Linked DNA regions of Mytilus edulis. The main gene of each other region encodes a partner of the protein of the gene in region 3 in a complex. Links are inferred from orthologs where the notes say so. Each region holds a gene or a part of one and is shown on either strand. Other genes may lie near its edges.

What was found. Proteins that work in one complex are often made in the same cells at the same time.
Region 1: E3 ubiquitin-protein ligase Hakai-like (region 3) and pre-mRNA-splicing regulator WTAP-like share a complex: the UniProt entries of both Homo sapiens proteins name them as parts of the WMM complex. The link is inferred for Mytilus edulis from reciprocal best matches to the Homo sapiens genes CBLL1 and WTAP.
Region 2: E3 ubiquitin-protein ligase Hakai-like (region 3) and N(6)-adenosine-methyltransferase catalytic subunit METTL3-like share a complex: the UniProt entries of both Homo sapiens proteins name them as parts of the WMM complex. The link is inferred for Mytilus edulis from reciprocal best matches to the Homo sapiens genes CBLL1 and METTL3.

Annotation. Positions count from the first base shown.
Region 1 is NC_092353.1:21,213,591-21,221,656, reverse strand, and holds the start of pre-mRNA-splicing regulator WTAP-like, read right to left. Parts: upstream 3,639-8,066; 5' UTR 3,533-3,638; coding exon 3,412-3,532; intron 2,950-3,411; coding exon 2,918-2,949; intron 1,599-2,917; coding exon 1,543-1,598; intron 1,079-1,542; coding exon 1,026-1,078; intron 1-1,025. UniProt on the Homo sapiens protein: Associated component of the WMM complex, a complex that mediates N6-methyladenosine (m6A) methylation of RNAs, a modification that plays a role in the efficiency of mRNA splicing and RNA processing.
Region 2 is NC_092348.1:95,908,920-95,917,173, forward strand, and holds the start of N(6)-adenosine-methyltransferase catalytic subunit METTL3-like, read right to left. Parts: upstream 3,639-8,254; 5' UTR 3,515-3,638; coding exon 3,364-3,514; intron 1,651-3,363; coding exon 1,380-1,650; intron 640-1,379; coding exon 567-639; intron 1-566. Other genes in the region: cleavage and polyadenylation specificity factor subunit 5-like, read left to right, coding at 3,764-3,885, 8,038-8,238. UniProt on the Homo sapiens protein: The METTL3-METTL14 heterodimer forms a N6-methyltransferase complex that methylates adenosine residues at the N(6) position of some RNAs and regulates various processes such as the circadian clock, differentiation of embryonic and hematopoietic stem cells, cortical neurogenesis, response to DNA damage, differentiation of T-cells and primary miRNA processing.
Region 3 is NC_092344.1:88,732,353-88,740,110, forward strand, and holds the start of E3 ubiquitin-protein ligase Hakai-like, read right to left. Parts: upstream 3,458-7,758; 5' UTR 3,336-3,457; coding exon 3,323-3,335; intron 1-3,322. Other genes in the region: ubiquitin carboxyl-terminal hydrolase 19-like, read left to right, coding at 3,641-3,707, 5,419-5,547, 6,039-6,169, 7,229-7,457. UniProt on the Homo sapiens protein: E3 ubiquitin-protein ligase that mediates ubiquitination of several tyrosine-phosphorylated Src substrates, including CDH1, CTTN and DOK1. Targets CDH1 for endocytosis and degradation.

The DNA.
Region 1 (8,066 bases), on a different chromosome or scaffold from region 3:
CTTTAACTGCCGGGTTATATTTAGTTGTAAAAGTCAACTGTATATCTTTCTTAGTGGTCTTTCTAGTTAATGTATTGCAACGTTTAACTTTATTGCATGCATCTGAAATTAGATCTCTAGCAATGTGTTTATTATATCCTCTGGCTGCTAATTTTGGTTCAAGGTTAATTAGATGCTTGTTCAAATCAATTTCATTATTATTTTTTCTAATGTGCAATATTTAGTTTCTCCCACAGAGGCCACAGTGATACTTTTAATAGTACTCTGTGGATGAGAGCTATTAGGTGGTCAATATTGATAAGTTTCTGTCATTATAATGTGAGAGTTGACATCCAAGATTCCATTTATATGAAATCTATCACCTTTATAAACCTCTAAATCTAAGTTGGTCATTAACTTGTCAGATACTTCATATGTAAATTTTAACTGACTGTTAATCTTGTTAACAATGCTAAAAAAATTCTCTATTTGTAATATATTACCAGTGAAGACCATAAAGCCGTCACCTCTATATTGACAGTGTAATTTAATGAGTGTTCTGTACTGTAAATCTGTGCATGTAGGCGGTAAAATACCTCCCATGGGAGCGCTTATTATCTGTTTATAGATGTGTCCATTAAATCTAAATACATTGTTTTCTAATACTATTTTAATCAGCTGAGCTAAATCTGCTGAATTGAGGATTTGAAAATCATATGATAACTTGTCAAAGAAGAATTGTATGTAGTTAGCATTAGTTTAGTACCATGTGGGGATATTAATGTCTATTTTGATTTAAAAGTTGTGTGATTGAGCTTTTCTGTTTGATCTTCAACTCATATACCATTTTATCAATATGAACATGATGAAGGTGAAAATTTTGTAGATGGTCTATTGAATTAGACTGACAGATGGAGAGAGTAAAGACCTGTAGTTCCTTTATTTTTTTACTAGTAGATGACGAATCATTTAACTATAATAAAATTGAGAATGGAAATGAGGATTGTGTCAAAGAGACAACCCTACCATGAGCATACCATGCATACCTTTTTTGCTCTTTTCTTCCAAGGACTTCACATACTTGTCCTGATCTCTCAATCTGTAAAGTAAAATTGACAAGATATATAATATATATATATATAAATTTGTTTATTAAAGTGTCACATATTGATTGCCATAAAACATATACAGATAACTAACTTAACACTGACTATGGTATAATATTTGTCATTTAAAAATTTGATAACTCATTAATACATTTTTTTAAATAATGTACATTTTCTGTGTAACCAAAATCTTATCAACTTTTTCAGTATACAGTATAATATTGATCCTGTGGCTTCAGAGGATTTTGAAAAATTCAAAAACAGACATAAATTGTAAAAGTTCACATTGCCCAGATAGCCAGGTGATAAAATTCAATAACCTTTTTTGAATATAGGGTGCATGATTGTCCTTTTTAAAACTTGGTAAAATATCGTTTTTGGTATTTAGAGGTTGAAATTTAAATCCATCTTATATTTCTGAAATCTCTCTTTAATAATAGTGTATAAAAAGTCTTACCTTATTACAAGTTCTTCCCTTGGCATATCATCTAGAGCCATCATGTCTAAACGAGCCTAGAATATAAATTGAAATTATTAATATAATTAACTATGGGGCAACCAAACAACCATTTGTTCAGAAAAACAGTCAACACCAAAAATCAAACGTTTTCATTACAACAATTATTACATCTTTCGATCAGAAATCTAATGTTCAAAATTATCACTCAATTTTTCTTCCAGTAGATTTTGTCAAAAAAGCAGTATTTTTATCAATTGATTTGAATGTTCGAACATGGTGTATCTAAACATGCAAAATGTGACTGTTTAAATTTTATCAGTATTTTTATTATCTCAGTGATTTTCCTGGCGTTTAAGGGAAGGGTCCTGGGGCCCATGCAATTGGGAAAAAAATTATGGTTTGGGAAAAATATGATTTGTCTTTACGACGGCGGGCACACGGCGCAAGACGTGTGCGCCTTGCTAGGGGGGTTTGGGGGCATGCCCCCCCCAAGAAAATTTTGAAAATTAGGTGCAAAATCCTGCATTCTGAGAAGGATTAACTGCATGAATTGCCTACAAAATAAGCTATCTTTTTAAGGAAAAGGATTAAAAATAAAAGTCGAATGTATCTACGTTCATTTTGTTTACATTATGTCTCATTTTTTTGCTTTGTCATTGAATTATTCATTCGGATGTTTCAAGCGCAAACGTGACCAGAATATCGTAGATTGCAATGCAATCCAAAAAAGATTGCAAACCAATCATCGTCTTAAGTGAACGATAATGATAACTCCCGAAATACCCAGAACGCTCAGAGATTTGTCAACAAAATAATACACGATACGGAGATACGACAATAACAAAATCTCGCGACGATGTCCATATACGATTGGGAATTTTAGAGCTGAAAATTGGGAAAAAAAGAGCATATTTCTCTTTGGGAATGGGGCCGAAATTCGGCCCCAAAATGAGGGTTGGAAAATCACTGTATCTGCATGATGTTTTTTTTATTATATCATTATACATGTTATATAGTGTTTTACATATTTGTATCAGCAATAATAATTAGGCATAAAACTTTTGGTTTTAAAATGGTTTATTTAAAATCATTGCAAGTTTGAACAGAAATTTAAAAACTGTCTTGACAACTTAAAAACCAGACAAAAACATGATAAAAGAGGTGGTTTTACACTATTGAATTCTCAAGTTCTGGTAGATGAACGGGTTGAACCAACTATTATCAACTGTATTTTTAACAACTTTAAACATGTTAATTAATAAATTTTCTTCATGACTATCTAGTGCAAATAATATTAGTCTGTTGTCATTAACATACATCTTTGCAATATCCTATAAGAGGAGAAAATAGGTGTTCAAAAGTTAATACTTGCCCTTTTAGGTGAAGCTGAGCTCTCAGACATTTCTGTAAAATACAAAATGTATAAGATGCAACATCAACTAAGCATGAAGAATATATGATCAAAATGCTGCTGCAAAAATAGCATGGAGGGACATGTTTTTTTTGTTATTACTTGCTTATTGATTGAAACTTTAAACAATGTTCCTTTAATTGTTATTGTCAGTAAAAATAATTGTAAGAATCTCTTGAAAATAACATTTGCTTAAACAATTGTTAAAAGTATGGAATATTTATTGATTTTTATCCCTTTGTTAATATAACTTGTAATGCTTGCGTCTATGTTCAGCAATCTGGAAACATAAATTTTATTGAATAAGTATAATGTAATAGTGAAAGTATAAATGGGAGTATTTATAAGTGCATTGTGTTTTGATCCAATATATATCACATATCTTCAGTAACAATAGAATACAAAGATTAAACCTAAAACGACAATAACATAAATCAATGTAATGAATCATTTACTTTTCTTTCTGAATTTTTTTACTTTTTCCTTGTGCAATTCCATTTTGTCACTTGGGTCATTTGTCAAGACATCAGGCTTTACCCTTTTCCCTGTTAAAATAACATTAATGCTGTTTGCCATTGTAAAGCAAATTTCTTTAGCTGTCCTCTCAACTAACCAAACACCTATTTTGTATAGGAAGGTATTTACAAATACTTTCACTTTTGTTTTTGGTTTTCCAGGAAGTGTTTTGAGCATGTGACATGTAAAATGGTATCTATTGGTTAGCTTTTAAACGAGCTGATAAAGGATTATGCCAACCGTGATTACCGGTTAATTTCGGAAAATATGTTTATTTCTTGGTTGTTATTTGCATTTTCGTTTCGGTACTTCGTATATTTGCGTCTTTGAGTAATATGTGAATTATGCGAAATGGCATGGCCGACATTTTAAACTCAAGATTTTACCTGTACGACTGTACGAATTTGTGTGCTTCTGCACCCTCAGTATTCAGTTCAAAGTTGTGATGCACAAAGAAAAGAAGGTTCTGTATTCGTTGCTAACTGCTTTACTTAGGTTATTGACTGTCAGCAATAAATTTAGTAGAGAATTTTCACCCTTTTTTCATCGAAAGGAGGCTGCCATTGTAATTATGTGAACAGAGCATTATGGGATAGCATAGTAAACTGTTACCAAGTCATTTACTTGTACTTTAAAGCATAATTACACTATTTAAACGGGAACCAGTAAAATCGATTAAAGGCCATACCTATTTATTTTTCTGTTTCCTAAAATATTGTGTGGAATTTAAAGATTATATAATATTGAATGTGAGAAACTACGGAAGCGTATTCAGGACGTAAAAATTAAATTGGCAATACACCTTTTTAAAGTCAAAATTTGCAAATCTTAAATTTTGACTTTGACTCGAAATTTTAACTTTCAAATCTCGAAATTTTGACTTTTTAAAATCTTGAAACTATATGACTTTAAACTAATTTCGACTCTTTTACGAAACAAAAATTCAAATTTAATAGTTTTAAAAATTTCGCTTTTGAAAGTTATGGTGGTATGAAGTCTAAATTAAAGATGATAGAATTTCTTCATACTTTTCCAAAACGAAGTATATAAATAGATAGATGCTTTATTTCCATAAAATGGGCTCACAAGGAGCATAATATAATATCATTGTAATATTCTTATTTTACAAATATAATAAACAATACAGTATACATAGTTACAAACACAAATAAGAAACAACAGTATATATATTGATATATGGAAAATTATAGGTCACCGCGCATTTTCCCAAGCTACAGCTTGTGACAAAATAAAACAAACATTTTGTATAGTTTATATACAGGAAAAAACATCATTATGTGATTAGAAGCTAAACTAAAGGATAGAATTGTAAAATAGCATAGTCGAAGATAACTGTTAGACTTGAAATGCTTTGAGAATATCAAACTGAGAAAAGATAGGGTCACCGTGCGTTTTTCCCGGCTAAAATACAAATTAACAAAAAGTCCATCTAGATTCCTTCAGAAAATGTACTATTTCAGAGTTACCTCCTCTTAAAATGCCAATTCAACAACATTAAGAATCAAGCAAAATATAATCTACACTTAAAATTAATTGATATTTATAATTAAGTAAAAATCTTATAAATTTGTTTTTTTAAATGCAAATTCACAATTGTTATCTGCATTTCTGCATCAAAATTTGCTAATTTGATTGAAAATCTGGACCTTAGATTCTCTGATTTTTGCAATCCAAGATGGCGAAAGACACCCGATGATACCACCTAGAAATTTCTACTTTAAACTTTGATGTTAGTAATCAAACACAATTTGACACTTTAAGAAGGAGGGGACATGGACGCATGTTATCAAAGCGTTACCCACACATTATTAAAGCGTTACCCACACATTTTAGCTATATGTTTTTAGACATTGGTTTTGTTCATAGATTAGATAGGTACTTGGCCATGAGGACAGGACAATTTTTTCTCTCTCCAAAAATCAGTTGTATATATTTTTTATGATTTCCGTAATTTCGATTATTTTCGTGTTTTATTGGATATCATGAACATAAAGTACTAGAAATAACTTGTATTTGCAATTCACTATCAATTTTAAGTTATTATTAACAGCGGTCACTCTATATACTATATAAAGCGAGATGAACAACGATAATCTTTAATTACCAAAACGTGCAATACAATAGTGTAGTCGTCAAGGAGAGACTCACAGCTTTAGTCATATCCACACAGTCCCAGTTATGTAAGCGAATCTATTATATTTACTATTACAGAAGAAAGCTTAATCACATTTGCAATCACAATTTTCAAAGGATCATTGTTTGATTCGATAAGAAAACTTTAATTAATATGGCTGATAAGGATTTTTAGTAGTGTTGTGCAGAAAGTTGAAAAGTGAAAACTGTCAATTCAATTGAAATTAGTGTCAACGAAAAACTAGTCCTGGTAAAATGTGTCTTATGTAGTGGACACTTGGTCTTTTATATACAAGAGGGGCGAAAGATACCTTAATATACGGTATTTTCTCGTGGTGAAAAGACGAACGGTTGCCTACAATTGCTTACATTTTCTTAATATGAACCCCGCCACATTATTTATGTATGTGCCTGTCCCAAGTCAGGAGCCTGTAATTCAGTGGTTGTCGTTTGTTTATGTGTTAAATATTTGTTTTTCGTTCATTTTTTCATAAAAATAAGGCCGTTAGTTTTCTCGTTTGAATTGCTTTACATTGTCATATCGGGGCCTTTTGTAGCTGACTATGCGGTATGGGCTTTGCTCATTGTTGAAGGTCGTACTGTAACCTATAGTTGTTAATGTCTGTGTCATTTTGGTCTCTTGTGGACAGTTGCCTCATTGGCAATCATACCACATCTTCTTTTTTTTTTATATTTGGTGGCTAGTTGTCTCAATAACCTACTTTCGAACTGCATACCACATCTCCTTATTTTATACAATTTGCTAGAAAAATGACGATGGCATAGATTTCCAGGATTTCTATCCGATGTCAATTATGAAAGGTGACATATTTATCACATTGAAAGTATCCCGCGGCATACATTGTGTGTATACCTAAAAGTTCTTTTCCGGAAAGAAAATCTTTTAGATGTATATTACGTAGACATTCCAATTATTTTTCCAAAAGTTCCAAGAGGAATAGATAGTTATTATCTGGATACAATACCAAATGGCTACCCAAAAACCAATTTATTGACGGAACTTTCAATAATGCGTTCACTGTTTTTATTTTTGTTCAACTTTTTCTTTGTGCTTACTATTAAATAGAGCACAGCATGCAGTTATGATAGTAAGTTAACAAAAATCCAGTTGTTATCTCTTAGGTTGAAACAGAGGGTCCGGGAACACAGTACGAATATAGTCCCGGACCTAGTGTAGACAGTGTGTTCTTGCCATTTTTATACCCTTTCCAAATGTATTTCTCTGTCATGTTTTTAAATACCTTAAACGTAGTGATTTGGTCCAGCAGAAATTATACAGGATAATAGTCAGTATTCCAAAAGCTGTCAAAAAATTCAAGACCCCCTTAAAACAAAAATTGTTCATATTTTGAGTTAGAGCTGATGAAGAGTTCTATTATTTCGATATAATATGTCTCAAAAGTAGTGCATCACACTGTTAAAATTCTATTGAGAACGCTCTGGTGGGATTTTTTTGAAATTTCCATTTATTGTCTAAAAGAAATGCACTACGAAATAACTGGAAATTGAAAAATAACTGCGTTATCGGGCCATAAACATATATAATACATGTATTATATGTCTCTGGTTGAAGTGCAATCTAATTAAAATATTGATCTCTGATTACGTTATACTGTAATCAGAGATCAATATTTTAATTAGATTGGTTGAATATGTATTATAACGTAATCAGAGATCAATACTTTAATTAGATTGGTTGAAGTGATGTCGCTAATAAGGCCGCAACATTTTAATAAGAGTTGATGAAATAAATAGAAGTTTTTGTATAATTTTTACTGGACTTTTGTAATATTAGACATGTTCTACATAATATATAACAATAAACTAAAAGAAAGAAATTTTATTTATTTATCCATGTAACCAAAACAAGTAGAAGTATTGCCATTTACATCCTAATGCGGACATTTTTCGTCTTCCTTTTCTACTTCCAAGGCTTTTCAGATATATTACATTAAGGATAATTAGTATGGTATCTTTTTGAAGGTGAGAAAACATAGAATGTTTAGAACAAAATTTTCAAAAATAGGAATAATTATTCGAAATCTTAAGAGCCTAACATGCTGTCTTTAGTATAAAATTAACCCCCCCCCCAAAAAAAAAAAAAAGAAAGAAAAGAAGACAATAACCGACAGCCACATGTGCCAAATGCACATTGTACTTTACATGGACTATACCATACATTTACAAAGTCAAGATAAATTTAACATGAGATCTATTTCAGATAAAATTTATTTCCTTTGATTTAAATCTGCATTATTTTCATGCATCTAGAGATTTAATTGCGGTGGTCCTGTTTGTAGACATGCAAAAAGAACAATGAATAAATAAACATACAATTGGTATAAAAATTTAAAAGAATAGAAAAAAGGAACGACCAATCTAGGATCATCTAACATGTCTAATTTTTTAGACATCTTAC
Region 2 (8,254 bases), on a different chromosome or scaffold from region 3:
GTTACACATGCTATTGACTCAAATATTGACATTAAATTTGCCAAACATACCAAAGATTATGTGTAGAAAATTTTAATGGTATTGGGTGATTAATTGTTGTAAAAAAATAAAATCACAGTGAAACTTAAATTCCATTTCTTAATTGTGTAATTTACACTATTTCTATGAACGAAAAACCTATATGCATAGAACCTTCATAAGTGACCAAAATTATATTTGTGGTTTGTTAATGGTATACATTAGCAAAATTGCTATATGATTGTTTTCTATTTTTCGAGGAACAATTGATTTTTTAAATTTGAAAAAAAATCGATGCAATAAAAGTAGGTGGTGCTTAACTTTTGGCGGACTGTATATATAGCCATGCCATTGACAGTAAATTGAGACCTAACATAGAGTAAACAATATTTCATTTGAAAATATTAACGTATACATTACAATATGCCAGTTTTATTAGGATTTGAAAACAAGAGATTTTCCACTTTTACAAATTCCTCCCCTAACTTGATATTGTTCTTAAATAATGTAATTTTGCTATCTTTCATAATTTATACAATAAGACAGACCTTAGTTATATCCATACTATTGACAGTAATTTTGCCTTGTTCATCTTCTAAACTGTCATCTTTTACTGTTATACTGAAAGAAAAATATTACATCATTAAAATATTTAAATTTCTTTACACCTTACAATGTATCCCTATTCCCTCCTGAACCTAAAATCTGTGCCGCTTGAACTATTGACCTATTCCCTCCTGAACCTAAAATCTGTGCCGCTTGAACTATTGACATGATACAACATTCACTTTTCCATTGTGGCATCAGATATTTTGTATTATGATGCCAACATTTTACAGGAACCTGTGTGATATCCAGTAATGGCAGACAAATAGCGATAAGGTGTATTCATATACCTTAAAATTGGATATTTTATTTGGATAATGGTTTGATTGATTGATCGCTGCTTAACATCCAGAGGTGAAAATTGTCATTATAATACCCTGCGTTGCACTACACTGACAGGTTGCGATAGATTCTTAACAGGCTAGGACATAAGGTTATTATAGTCAACAGGAGAACATGCCATCCTGCACTTACTGCATGAACACACTGTCCTGACTCCATGTCAACTTGTCTTGCTCTGATTACAAAATGTCTACACCTTTCAATCCCTTACGACCATGATGACATATTGAAATGTAGCATTAAAGCATATGGATTTTATTTTCTCCTGGTTTTGGAAATCTACATTTATTAACTGCAGAGATAAAAAAAAAATATTTTGGTGTAGCTGCATTGCTATAGTACTAGTATTGGCATATAACTCATATCTTATACATGTATATTTCTTTCATCATGTTCATATTTATTTCACCTACTTTATCAGCTGTTGTCCTGCAAATTTCTTCAGTAATTCTTCCACAACATCAAGTTTAACGGTCTGTTTGAGTATTTTAGATGAATGTTCTGCTATAACATTAGAACTACAGGGTATGTCTAGATCTATGTCACAGAGAGCCAACATTACTTTCTTCTCTAGAACAGGGTCTATCTTTGTAGGTTCAGCAGCCGGTGTGGACTTTACTGGACTGGAAGATGTAGATGGTATTGCTTTAACAGGGCTTGCTGATTCTGATTGGCTCTTTGTATCTGAAAAATAAAGTTCATGATTTGAGGCAAAATCAATTAAAAGTTCTTGTACAAAATTTTTATTTAAATTCAAATTCAAACCAGATGCTCCGCAGGTTGCAGCTTTATACGACCGCAGAGGTTGAACCCTGAATGGTTGGGGCAAGTATGGACACAACATTCAAGCTGGATTCAGCTCTAAATTTGGATTGTGATTAAATAGTTGACACAGCATAGGTTTCTGACACAGAATGAATGTGGTCTAATGAACTTAAAATATTTTTTTTGCCTTTGAGTTATTCACTATGCTGTTGAATATTAATCCTCTCAAAAAAATGTTTAAAGAAATTTTCTTTTTATTTATGAAATCTGAAATGAGAAAAATTTACCCCCCCCCCCCCCTCCCATTTTTTTTTCACATCCCCCTTTACCATGTTTACCTTTTTCCAAAACTGATCTCAATTCAAACTTCTAATGGAGTTTGCAACAATAACTACTCATTTAAGTACATCATAAAATATTAAAATATAAAATAAAGTGCTTGTTATCACTGAATGGTAAAGATTGTTTTAATTTATCAGTCGGTAGTAAAAGTGAATATGCATTGTATAATGTTTAGATTTAGCATATCAAAAAAGCCCAAGAATTCAATTTTTGTTAAAATCAAACTTAGTTTAATTTTGGACCCTTTGGACTTTAATGTAGACCAATTTGAAAAGTTATGGTGCGAAAACCAAGAACAATGCTTATTTGGGCCCTTTTTTGGCCCCTAATTTCTAAACTGTTGGAACCAAAACTCCCAAAATCAATACCAACCTTCCTTTTGTGGTCATAAACCTTGTGTCAAAATTTCATAGATTTCTATTTACTTAAACTAAAGTTATAGTGCTAAAACAAAGAAAATGCTTATTTGGGCCCTTTTTGGCCCCTAATTCCTAAAATATTGGGACCAAAACTCTCAAAATCAATCCCAATCTTCCTTTTGTGGTCATAAACCTTGTGTTAAAATTTCATAGATTTCTATTCACTTTTACTAAAAATAATGATTGTTGATTTAACTTGCTTTGATGTAAATACTGCATGTATTTATCTTGTTATGAGTGAGTAAAACTTTGAAGATCACGAGAGATAATTGTTTTTAACAGCTTGGCTCCTAAATTTGATCTCTTTTAAAAAAAAATATTCATAGCAATACACTTACGAAATATGATTAAGATTTTATCAACACATAAAAAACATTGTCAGAATTTCACTTTATTTAGAAAAAATGAACAAATCATTTTTATGTAGAGCAATACACTTGCTTTAACGGTATTATAAAGATTTATTCAACACGTCAAAAAAATGTTATCAGAACCTCACTATATGTAGAAACAATGAAAAAAATATTTATAAATAGCAATACACTTCATGCACTTTATTACCCAAACTCGATTCCAAATTGTATAACACAATACCCATAAAAATTGGTCTTGAACGTGTAGGGTGCGAACAGACTTTGAGTGCGAAAGTGTAGGGTGGGAAAGTGAAAGGGCGCCAACGTGAATGGGCGCGAAGGTGATTGCTCGCGAACAGACCCAGATTCATGAGACCTCCAGTAAAATGGTGTAAAAATAGCAATAAGATCAACATTAACGACAATGGAAAAAAAAATATATGGGTCAGCTATTTTGTGTGCTAATTCTCAGTTGCAAAATGGACAATTTCAATGAGAACCAGATAATGGTGTTTCACCTTCACTACTTGTTGTTGGTGAGATGCTAGACTTGGTGATTTCGGCTGCAATTTCCTCTCTTTCTTTTCGTCTCTGGAGCATTTTAGCTCTCAAGCTACTCTGTTTGCTTTTGATAGCTTGGATATCGCTCCATGCATCTGAATCTGACATGGTGGTGTCTTAAATCAGGTTCGTAAATAGGTAAATAGTTCGATCTCGAAATCAATTCTCTTTTTTTTTTAATTTGATCAGTGTCAATTATCTGCAATTCAAACAAACGAAATATTTTCTATTTTAAAGCGCTTAAAAGACCCAGAAGGGCACTTTTCTAAAATAACTGGTTCCCTGTTTGTAATTTTGTTGCTGATTTGCCTCAAATTAATATAAAAAGAACCAGAATAAAGTAGGAAAACATTGACAATGGCGTCACATGGAAGAGCACACGGCGTTCCCCACGGTTGGCCTAAACAATCTAATTCCGCATCCTTCCCAAAATATGGCACTGCAAATCCTCTCATAACTCTCGACAGACCAATCAATTTGTAAGCACTCTAGCCATATAGGTTCATGTGTCTTTTAATTTATCTATCAGAAATTCATGATCTTTCTTTTGTAGACTACTACTACTAGTACTAGTGCAACACTCCAACAGCAAGACAGGATCTGTATGATTCCGGATAAGTGTTCCTGGTTAATTAGTTCTTTTGAAGAATGCGTAAACCACAGACCCAACTTAATCAGGTCATGAACCATACCAGCTAACCCTCACATTGCGAGCGGGAGACTCTAGGGCAAACAACAAAATTACGGAAATCTCCCACTTGCCAGTCCAGTCCCGAACAGGATTAAAATCTCTCGCTTTTGGATATTTTGACCTGGAATAATACGAGTTCAAAATTCTCTGCCTTTTCAATAAAATGTTAAGCTTTTTTTTAAATTTGTTTCCTATTATACTTGCAGTGTTCTCCCCGGTATCAGGTCCGTTCGCGCCCAATATACTTTTGCACCCTACACGTTCGCACCTCGCACGTTCGCACCCAAGGTCCGTTCGCACTCTACACGTTCGCGCCCAATTTTAATTCAAATTCCAGTTGAATAATTTGAAAATCATGATTGTTGTTTTTAATTGCTTTCGTGTAAATACTGAATGTATTTATAGCTTGGTATGAGTAAAAGATTGAAGATTTTAAATGAAAAACACAAAAGATAATTGTTTTGAACAGCTTGGTCCCTTTGATCTGAAATAATGAAACAATACACTATTATATATCACTATACATGATAAAATTTAATCCAACACACACAAAAAAAAAGAAACGTAGTCAGAATCTCACTTCATTTTGAAACAAGTCAATGAAAAAAAGTTATAGCAATACACTAACCAAAACATGATAAACAATTATTCAACAGTTCAGTTCAGTTCAGTTTCTTGTATATTCCTCCATTAAATGTGGAGCACTACCCAAAGGGTATAGTTTGAGCAACTATTTACACCTTAAAACATAGGGAAACAATTAATTAAATTATATACAGATGACTGAATTTCAACACAAAATAAAACGTTGACAGAATCCCACTTTATTTAGAAAGGAATATAATTTTTTTTAACAATACACTAACCAAAACATGATTAAGATTTATTCAACACAAAAAAAATGCTGTCTCACTTTATTTTGAGACCATGAAAACAATTATACTTATAAGAATACTACGTACTTGCCAAAACTTGATTACAAAGTTATTAAACACAAAACCAATTAAAATTGGGCGCGAACATGTAGGGTGCGAACGGACTTTGGGTGCGAACATGTAGGGTGCGAAAATGAAAGGGGGCGAACATGTGTGGGTGCGAACGTGAATGGGCGCAAACGGACCCGGATTCGTTCTCCCCAGGCCGTTTTAGCGTCGCGGTACCGCGACGCTATATTTTTTCACCGTGATGCTATGATAATTCCAGCGACGCTATAATTATTACCGCAACGCTATAATTATTCCCGCCACGCTATAATTATTTTGAAGATGCTATTTTACTTGTCCTCAATTTTGAACTTTCATCTATTATTGATTATGATCATAAAAATTATATCACCTTTAATTGTAATCCCTTTAAGTCGGACACGAAAGGCAATTAAGAGATTAAATAGCTAGGTGTTAATTGCCCTCAGGGTGATAACTGTTTGGATGCGAATATCCCAAGCTGTCACTTGTGACATGATTAATACCACGTCACGTGTCTGCAATCACCAATTTCGACATGGAATAATGCAATCACAACACAATTCGAAATCTACGTTTTATATTACGAAATTTCAAAGATTGAAACGATTTTTATTTTTTTTTAAAAGGTCGTTTATTTGTGCAACTCTCCAAAAATTACTTTCTTTCTCTTCCAGTAATACGAGAGCGAGAATTTTGGTTTAGAGCTAAAATAAGTTTAATATTTCTTTAAAAAGTTATCATAATTGGCTGAAGTTTATGTTTAATCCATTTAATGCATTAAAAGCGTCTTATTCATTCACAATCTCTTGTCAAACAATGTTTATTCTCAGACTCATTTTCGTAAATTTTTCTACGGCCGCCATTGCACATTTTTGTGTAAACTACGGATAGGAACCGGACTAGATATGACAAAAATCCGCATTTTCACGATAATGACAACAGATGGACAGTAGACAGAAAAAATATACCACGAAAGAAAACTACGTATTAACAGACTATTTGTTAGATGACTTTGTTAAAAATACATATCATTTTGATGTAAAGATAAACAACTGGGACTAATTCATTGAGTGCCATGAAACAATGAATTTCATAAACATGATAAAAAAAAGTTTTTAAATTGAGGATTTTTTTGGCTACTTTATCTTTACTTAAAATAATATAAAAAATTGTTAATTTTGTGTACTAAATATTTAGTTTTGTATATATATACCGGTTGCACTATAATGAACCATTCATTCATTTGACTTATTATTGGGTAACTGAAACCACATATTTATTTTTATTTGGCACAAAAGGAAAAAAATAATTCTGATTACTATAAATGAATAAAGAAAACATAAACTGAAACAACTGTTTTTGTGGTTACAGTTTAATTGTATTCTCAGTTATGAATTGAACAATATAAACTAAAACATATAAAGGAAATAGAGCATCAACACGACGCGACAAATGACATTAAAAAAAATACTGTTATTTTTTTTAACGTAAAAATTTCTGGGGAGAACACTGACTTGTACTTTTCATTAACAGTGTTCTCCCCAGAAATTTTGGATAGCATCACATTTTGCGTAAAAAAAAATAAGTGTATTTTTTTTAATATTGTTTGTGATTGCATATTTCCATGTCGATATTGGTGATTGCAGACACGTGGTATTTAGTCATGTCACAAGTGTCAGCTTGGGATATTCGCATCCAAACACTTTTACAGTTATCACCCTGAGGGCAATTAACACCTAGCTATTTAATCTCTTAATTGCCTTTAGTGTCCGACTTAAAGGGATTACAATTAAAGGTGATATAATTTTTATGATCATAATCGATAATAGATGAAAGTTCAAAATTGAGGACAAGTAAAATAGCATCTTCAAAATAATTATAGCGTCGGCTACGCCTCATGGTGTACTGGGGTACTTCAGGGTGTTAAAATACCCATATCTATGGATATGAACGATACGCCTCATGGTGTACTGGGGTACTTCAGGGTGTTAAAATACCCATATCTACGGATATGAACGTAGATAACTTATAATAACACCATATAAAATATAGTTTTTCGATCATATCTATTGGTTAATATTCAGCTTTGGAGTTCTTAAGAAAATGTGGTTTTGATAAGGGATGTCAACTCTGTAAAAATTTACTAATCAAGTATAACATACAAGTTGGATTTATTGAGCGATACTCAAGTACTCGCTCGGTTACACACTTACCAAATGGAAACACAAAATTATACCCAATAAAAATGTTTTCTGTTTAAACTTAAGAAAACAATAACATTCTAACAGGAAACCAAATAGTTGAGCAATACTTGAGTACTTGTTGACATCCCTAGTTTTGATGATATGAATTAATAGACCACTCTTCAGTTATGTCCTTCAATGGAAAAGTTTGTCAGTTATGCTTTTAGCTTCTTTATGACATCATTAATCAGATGGAGTGGATCCCTTGTATCTATCAAGCTTCTTCATGATTATAATTTATTATGCAGCACAAACTAGAAATTAAACCAAAGTATATAAGGGAATGCAACTAAGTAGAAGGATGTCTATTGCAGTAGAATGTATTAGAATGTGAATTACACAGAAATCGACCTTATGCAAGTGAATATCAATACTTTTTTTTATCCTATTTCTGATGGAAAAAATCTATATCAAAAGTCGGTAACTGTTTGAAACTTTGAGTTGTTTTAAGAACACTATAAAACAGACTAAAATTCATCTTTTATTTTATATTCGAACATGTTGAATGTTTTTAAAACCAATCACAGTTGTGTACATGTAAATGTGTACTTGCATAAGGTCGATTTCTATCCGACGCAGCTCACATGTATATACATGTAATAGAATGTGAATTACACATGTACCTGAATTGAAGTATAATTCACCAATTTTTGATTTGTTAAATATTTACTGCCTTGCAACTTTTATCAGTTATGAGAAATTGGAGAATAATATATTAAATAATTTTTTCAGGTATCCTTTAACTAACTACACATTTGGTACAAAAGAGCCTCTTTATGAAAAGGATAGTTCTGTACCAGCCAGATTTGCCAGGATGAGGGAAGATTTTGAGAAGATTGGTATGAGACGATCGGTTGAGGGTGTATTGATTGTACATGAGCATGGTCTTCCACATGTACTGCTGTTACAGCTTGGTACAACTTTCTTCAAATTGTAAGTTTTTCAAGTT
Region 3 (7,758 bases):
AGGCACCGTTAACATAATCATCCTGATCTACGGATCACCAAAGGTCATCCCTACATAGGATACAATGTCCGTTAACAAATTATTTTGTACGCACTTTGACCATGTTGATAATTTTGTATTGGACAAAATTTTTTGAATGAACCCTGCTCTTCAAGTATAAGGACACAGGGCAACGTTCGTCATATTATGATTTCAAAACTTTCAACATCGATTTCAATCAAATGCTTTGAATCTGTAACGCGCGTCTGGTGTATATATAAAATTTGAATTCATGTATCTATGATGTCAGAGTTAATTATCTAAAAGTGTTCATGCCAAATGCTCACGTGATACCAAAGGGATTTAACCTTATACAGGGAAGATGAAAACCCAAGGATTCTGGTACAAAAGTTTTGAGCAGGAAATAAAAATAGAAGATTTTCGGTAGGAAAGGAAAAAAAAAGAAAAAAAATATTGCTGGTAAATACAAATTAAAGATTTCAGTCGGAACGAATTTATCGGGTCGGTCGGTAAAGGGCAAACAAACAATATTTTAATTCAAGCCTAAACGCTAAAGCGGCCCAAAGGTTAAGCTGAATTATTAGTTCAGTCAAGGTGGCCAAGTGGTCTAGAGGAATGGCTGGATGGACACAGTGCAGGCTGTGTTGTCTCGATATCCCAATAGCATGAGTCTGAATCCAAGCAAGGGAAGAACAAAAATTTGCGGATTGTTGTGCTGATACATTTGTGATTTAAGCATAATAGTTATATATTTCAGCCGTGTATGATTCTACCTATTCTATTCTATTCTACCTTTTAGTGACTGCTTTCAACAAATTGAAGATTATGTCACAGTAGGAAACTTACAACAAGACATAGATTGAAAAATGTACAATTTAAAAAAAAATACGAAAAGTTTGAAAGAGTCTACTGAAGTGCAATTAAGTGAATTTACAATGTTATCCGGTAGTTTGTTCCAGTCGGTAATAGTTCTTGGAAAATAGGATTCTATTCTGTACTGTGTTTTGCAGGATGGAATTTGGAAGCTGTTCAAATTAGAATGTCTTGTTTGTCTTGTTTGTGGAATTAATTTAGTATTTTTAGGTATTGCAACCTTTTCGTGTTCAATTTTGTAAAGCATTACCAATCTGGAGTCTTTTCTTCTGTCAGAGAGACTGTGCCATTCAAGATGTTGTATCATGTTACCAACGCTTGAGGGGTTTCTGTATTTGTTGGTAACAAAACGTGCAGCCCTCCTTTGAACCTTTTCAATGCTATCTATGTCTTGTTGTAAGTATGGATCCCAAACAGAGCAAGTATACTCTAGTGATGGTCTTACTAGGGACTTATATGCTTGCTCTTTAATGGATGTTGAATTTATGTTAAAATGATAATACATGTATCACCATCACTGATTGAATGGATGGATCTGCCGTAGAGTTGTCTATTTATAGAGGTAGTTATACATATATTATACATTGTGCCTGTAAGAGTCTATAGTATATATATATATATGTAACACTCAGAAACGTGTCCTTCCCCCCAAACGTGTCCGATTCCCCCAAACGTGTTCACATCAACGTCACTGAACTCTAAAACATGTCTAGTTGTAAAAACAGCGCCAAACCATATCATTTGTATAAACGCCCAAACATGTCCATTTTTTAATAAACACTTAAACGTGTTCAATCCCCCAAATGTGTCCATATGTTTTTTTAACTAGAAATGTCATTTGTGTCAATATTATAAGTATGTAGGTTATTTGGTTATTGCTTTTTCAGCAATGTATACTCATTTTGCTATTTCATTAAAAAGTAGAAAATAACTTTAGATCTATTTTTCAAAACAGACAGAATAACCTGGTAAAAGTGGGGGCGTTTGTTAAGCTATGTTGAATGTAAATGTAAGCAGCCATGCTCAGTTAAGTTGTAGATTTACAATCAGATACCTCGTGTAGGGAGAATGTCCCGTTCACTGCGCAATTCTAACTAAAGATAAACAAAAATCGTTTTTACTCTCCCTTAATTATTTTAGATTAAAATCCTAACTAGTGTTGATCACGAATAACCGTAAAAATTTAAGCCCAATCCTCAATTCCCGGTATGATAATAGAACCCTTGCAGATTTCCAAAAAGAGCAGGCTAATGCCGCTACAAGGCAGCACTCGCACCCGCAGAGTGGAAAGGGATTAATATAAGTTGCAAAACTTGTTTCCCAATCCACTATAATTAAATATGTTTAAACTAAATAAAATGATAAAAAAGAAGATGTGGTATGATTGTCAATGAGATAACTCCCAATTAAAGACCACATGACACAGAAATTAACAACTCGTCACCGTACGGCCTTCAAAAATGAGTAAAGTCCATACCGTTTTAAAAGCTATAAAAGACACCGAAAGGACAAATGTATTTTTGCTAACATTATATCGTTTAAATAATGCATGAAATATTTCACTTGGGACGTTATGTCTCTTATGTGTGTGTCATTAGTGATGCTCGAAACATAAAATTTATTAAAAAAAACCCTGATAACCAGCATTTGACCAGTTTATGATTTGAAAAACTTTTAAAATACCAGACTGAGAATTGAAAAAGGAAGTCAAATATGCTGAAAGCCCGTTGTGCAATATTCAGATTAATTTAAAAGCATCATTGGAGTTTATTAGTACAAACTGTAGTTCAACTGTACAAGAATTATTTGTATGTTCGCTAAAAATGAGCATGAAATACTTGCAACTGGCCAATAAGCAAATACAGTCTAAAGTGAATGCATATGTTACAGAGTGAACTTACAATTATGATGATCGTTAATAACCTGCATTGAACAAACTAATGCTAATAAATGACCACAATATCAACAGTGTCCGTAATTAAAGAATAGCCGTTAAACGTTATTGATTTCATTTAGGAGTCCTCAATTAGGACATACCTGTATTTGCGCTGAAAGACGTGAGACGTTCCTGCATGTTATAGTGGACTCGTTTTGGCGAATAACAATTATTGGACACGTTTTGGGGTCATAGAATCGGACACGTTTCACATTTGGGGAATATTGAATATTACGGACATGTTTGGGGGAATCGGACACGTTTGGGGGAAGGACACGTTTAGGAGTGTCACATATAAATTATTTATCAATTTTAAACTCTCAAATTATCTCAGATTATTTCAACCAGGTTTTGTTATCATTTGTTTGATAATGATTTTGTATTTGCGAAATGACCTATTGTTATTCGTGTCAGAGGGAATTTTCAGAGTATCATGTCGTAAAATTTCTGTCTATCTCTTTAATGCATGTTAATGTTACATCGCTTTTTAGTAAAAAGTGCATGCCAGTTTACCTTCATCTGCCATTTTCCTTAATAAACCGAAAGTAAAAACAGACAAGCATTTCCATTGGTTGATTAGATTTGGAAAATATAACGAGAGCTTTGATTCGCTCTTAAACTGTCGGCATGTAGTAGTTGGGTTCTGTAATCAGCTCAAAAATAATACAGAAAAATAAAGATTTATTAAATGTTCCAAAACTGGACACTAAAATTTTAGACGATACCTCCAAAATAGAGCAAAGTCCAAAGAAGAGAAAGCACACAGGCGAAGTGTGCGCAGAAGAACAACACAAGAGACAAAAGACACTTGATGTCCAGGAGACAAAAGAAATGTCAACAAAGATGAGAGAAATGTCTGATGAAAAGCAAGGTTCAACAGCCAGAGCGAATTTCAAAAGTACACCTCATTCCTTTGCACTTATTAAACAACCATTCACTTATAAATTACTGGGCAAAATGTCAAATTCGGTTCAATACGCATAAGTCATTGTTAGTGCTTCTTTTTCTATACAAACAATGTCAATCATGTCATATCAACATCAATACACCTTATTGTTGTATGGAAATCTGTACCAGTTGACCTGAGAATCAGCGCTGCTTGAGTGACTGACATCATCCAACAATCACTTTTCCATTATGGCGTCAGATAATTCTTTTGTGACGTCAAAATTTTACTAGAACTGAACCTTTTGGTAGTCCAACATTGGCAGATAAATAGCGATAAGGTGTATATGATGAGATATATAAGCACATACATGTATATCTTTGGGATTTATAAGTGCCTTACTTTCCAATTGGTAGATATTTTCCTTTGCTCAATCTCTCATTTTTGAAGAAAAGAATATATATATATACATCATGTATCCTTAGTTATGACACAATTGACTAAGTCTTGTATTCAGGCATTCCAAGGGTTCCAAATAAACCCTCTGAACAGACTAGTCCAGTTTAGATTTATGTTTTACTGTTAAGAAGCAGTTATTATTGGAATCTGGGTCTGTTCGTGCCCATTCACGTTCGCGCCCATTCTCGTTCGCACCCTTTCACTTTTGCAACTACACATTCCCACCCTACACGTTTGCGCCCAATTTTTTTATTGGTTTTGTGTTTAATGACTTTGTAATAAAGTTTTGGCAGAAAAATAAATTGAGACATTTTTTTTTTGTGTTGAATAAATCTTAATGCCTCAAAATAAATTGAGACAATGTTTTTTTTGCGTTGAATAAATCTAATCATGTTTTGGATTGTATATTGTTAAAACAAATAAATAATCAGTTTCTAAATAAAGTGTGATTCTGTCAACGTTTTGTTGTTGTTGTGTTGAATAACTCTTAATCATATTTTGGTTAGTGTATTGCTATAATGTTATTTCAAAATAAAGTGAGATTCTGACGGGTTTTTTTTTCAAGCTGTCACAGTAAAAACAATTATCTTTTGTGTTTTTCATTTAAAATCTTCATTTTTTTTAATCATACCAAGCTTAATTCATGCAGTACTAATATTTACATCAAAGCAATTTAAACAACAATCATGATTTTCTAATTATTCAACTAGAATTTACTTTAAAATTGTGTGCGAACGGACTTTGGGTGCGAATGTGCGAGGTGCGAACGTGTAGGGTGCGAAAGTGTATTGGGCGCGAACGGACCTGATACCTTATTATTGCCAAATAAGTCCAAATGATATCCATATAAAGCCTTCCAAGTTCAACAATAAGGAAAGCTCATACCCCTATACTATATAGTCACCTATAAATGACTGACATTGCAAAATTTTAAACAATTGAAATAAAACAAAAAACAGCATTAATGACAAATCAATAAATGACAAACAAATATGACAATTTTTATGACAGACAGTAACCAACAACAACTACTCAGCTTTCAATAAAATTCAATCGATAAGTTTGTTTTCCCTGACGAATGGAAAGGCTTATTGACTACAGGCTAAGCTAAGCTGCAGTTCAGTGTAAAAGAATTTCTTTTAATGGTGAGATGTTATATTTTTTTTTACAGCTATGTTTTGATTGGTACATATACTGTCATTTTGACTGTCATGACTGTTATTAAAATAAATTTTCATTTTAATATTCAAATTTATTTTCATAGAACTTTCATATACCTGGAAACAGTCTGAAGATGAACTCATTATGGTATTTGATCAAGAAGGTTTAACACCTAATCAGAAAGATTTGGATATATCTTTTGGTGATCAGTATGTCCTGATAAAGTTTCCAGGTAGGATATTTTCAATATTTGTTTTTTTCATCACTTTCATACCAAAAAAATACTGGCGTAGTGCACAATATTCTGAGCCCAGCAATCATCTGACTTTTTAGACTAGTAAAATATGTCCATTTTAATAAAAATATAAAAGAAAGGTTTAAAAATTGACTTTGAGATGTTATTTCAAATAAAAAAAACATTCATGGTAAGGATGTCAGAATATCAACAAATTCATGGTAAGGACGAATATCAACAAATTCAAGTAAAAGATCTTAATGCTCAAGACAAGACCAAAAATTTTAAGCTGAAATACATGTAGATTGATAAACAAACAGTAATAGTAGATAAAGACTTTGTATAACACATGCAACTAGATTTTAGAGTGTGTAATGCCTTTGAAGATAAAGACAAGACATCTGCACTTGTTCTCTGTTCACATAAAATGTATCATAAACTTGTAAATTAAAATGCTGACTAATACAGTTTATACTGGGTTGTTTCAGATGGAAAGCAGACATGGTCTTTAATATTTGCTAAAAATATTGATAGAGAAAATACTAAAGTACAATGGAAGAAGAAAAAATTACATATAATGATGAAGAAAAAATGTCCTCAGATTTGGTCATCATTAGAGGTAAGCAATATATTTAGCTCACTTACATGTGACCAGAGGTTTTGTAATAGCTAAGTGTGTCATGTATTCTTTGTTTCTGTACAGGAAACATGGACACAATGACATTCCAAATTTATTTATTTCCCAGTGACATTATATGTTAATAAGCTGATATATAAAGATGACATATTAGCCTAAACAGTTATTTACAGTTTAAAAAAGTATTTATAGTGTAAACCATTTTATATATGAGTTAAAATAAAATTGAGAATGGAAATGGGGAATGTGTCAAAGAGACAACAACCCGCCCAAATAAAAAACAACAGCAGAGGGTCACCAACAGGTCTTCAATGTAGCGAGAAATTCCCGCACCCGGAGGCGTCCTTCAGCTGGCCCCTAAACAAATATATACTAGTCCAGTGATAATGAACGCCATACTAATTTCCAAATTGTACACAAGAAACTAAAATTAAAATAATACAAGACTAACAAAGGCCAGAGGCTCCTGACTTGGGACAGGCGCAAAAATGCGGCGGGATTAAACATGTTTGTGAGATCTCAACCCTCCCCCTATACCTCTAACCAATGTAGTAAAGTAAACGCATAACAATACGCACATTAAAATTCAGTTCAAGAGAAATCCGAGTCTGATGTCAGAAGATGTAACCAAAGAAAATAAACAAAATGACAATAATACATAAATAACAACAGACTACTAGCAGTTAACTGACATGCCAGCTCCAGACTTCAACTAAACTGACTGAAAGATTATGATTTCATCATATGAACATCAGGCACAATCCTTCCCGTTAGAGGTTTAGTATCATACCATCATAACATATATGAGAAGAACATAACCCGTGTCATGCCAACAACTGTTTTTAGAATAAATGTGTTTAGTTCCGATGCAAAGACCTTATCAATGACTCAATATTAACGCCAAAATATGCAATCTTTAATGACTTGACAACAGTATCGTAATTATATCCCTTCTTAATAAGTCTATTCAAAGGTTGCATGTTATTAGGCATAGTATTATTAAAGCTTCATTTAAAAATATATAATTTTTATCTTCTTTAGAGAGTTCTGAAAAAGCTTCAATCCGAACCCAGTTCTGAAGATATTTCAGAGGCCAAGAAGACTGATCTAAGTTCTGTGTCTTCTACTGAAGTTATGACCTCTGGTCAGGCATCAGGTGACACACCTTCCCCAGACCAAATGAGTACCAGCGAGGCTACTGGAGATGATTCAGGACAGGGAGATACTCAAACATCAGATGAATATTGTGTTGATAAGGACAAAGAAGAAGGTACATGTACACCTTAGACTTTTTCTTAAAACACTGCATCTTTTTGTTGGGAAGCAGAAAACAAGACATAGATATGTCTTTACATAATAGACATTCTATTAATGTTCCTTCCTAGATATGATAGATATATACATATAGATTTATTCTCCCGTGTGCATACATATATCCAAATTGAATTTCCAATGCTCATTTGAATAAGATTTCTCAAAAAAACATTTATAATGTGGAAATTTAGATAGGGACTTCCAGTAAGAAGTTGACCAATTTGGCTTTTGTGTTACCACATGAATGTACCTAAAAA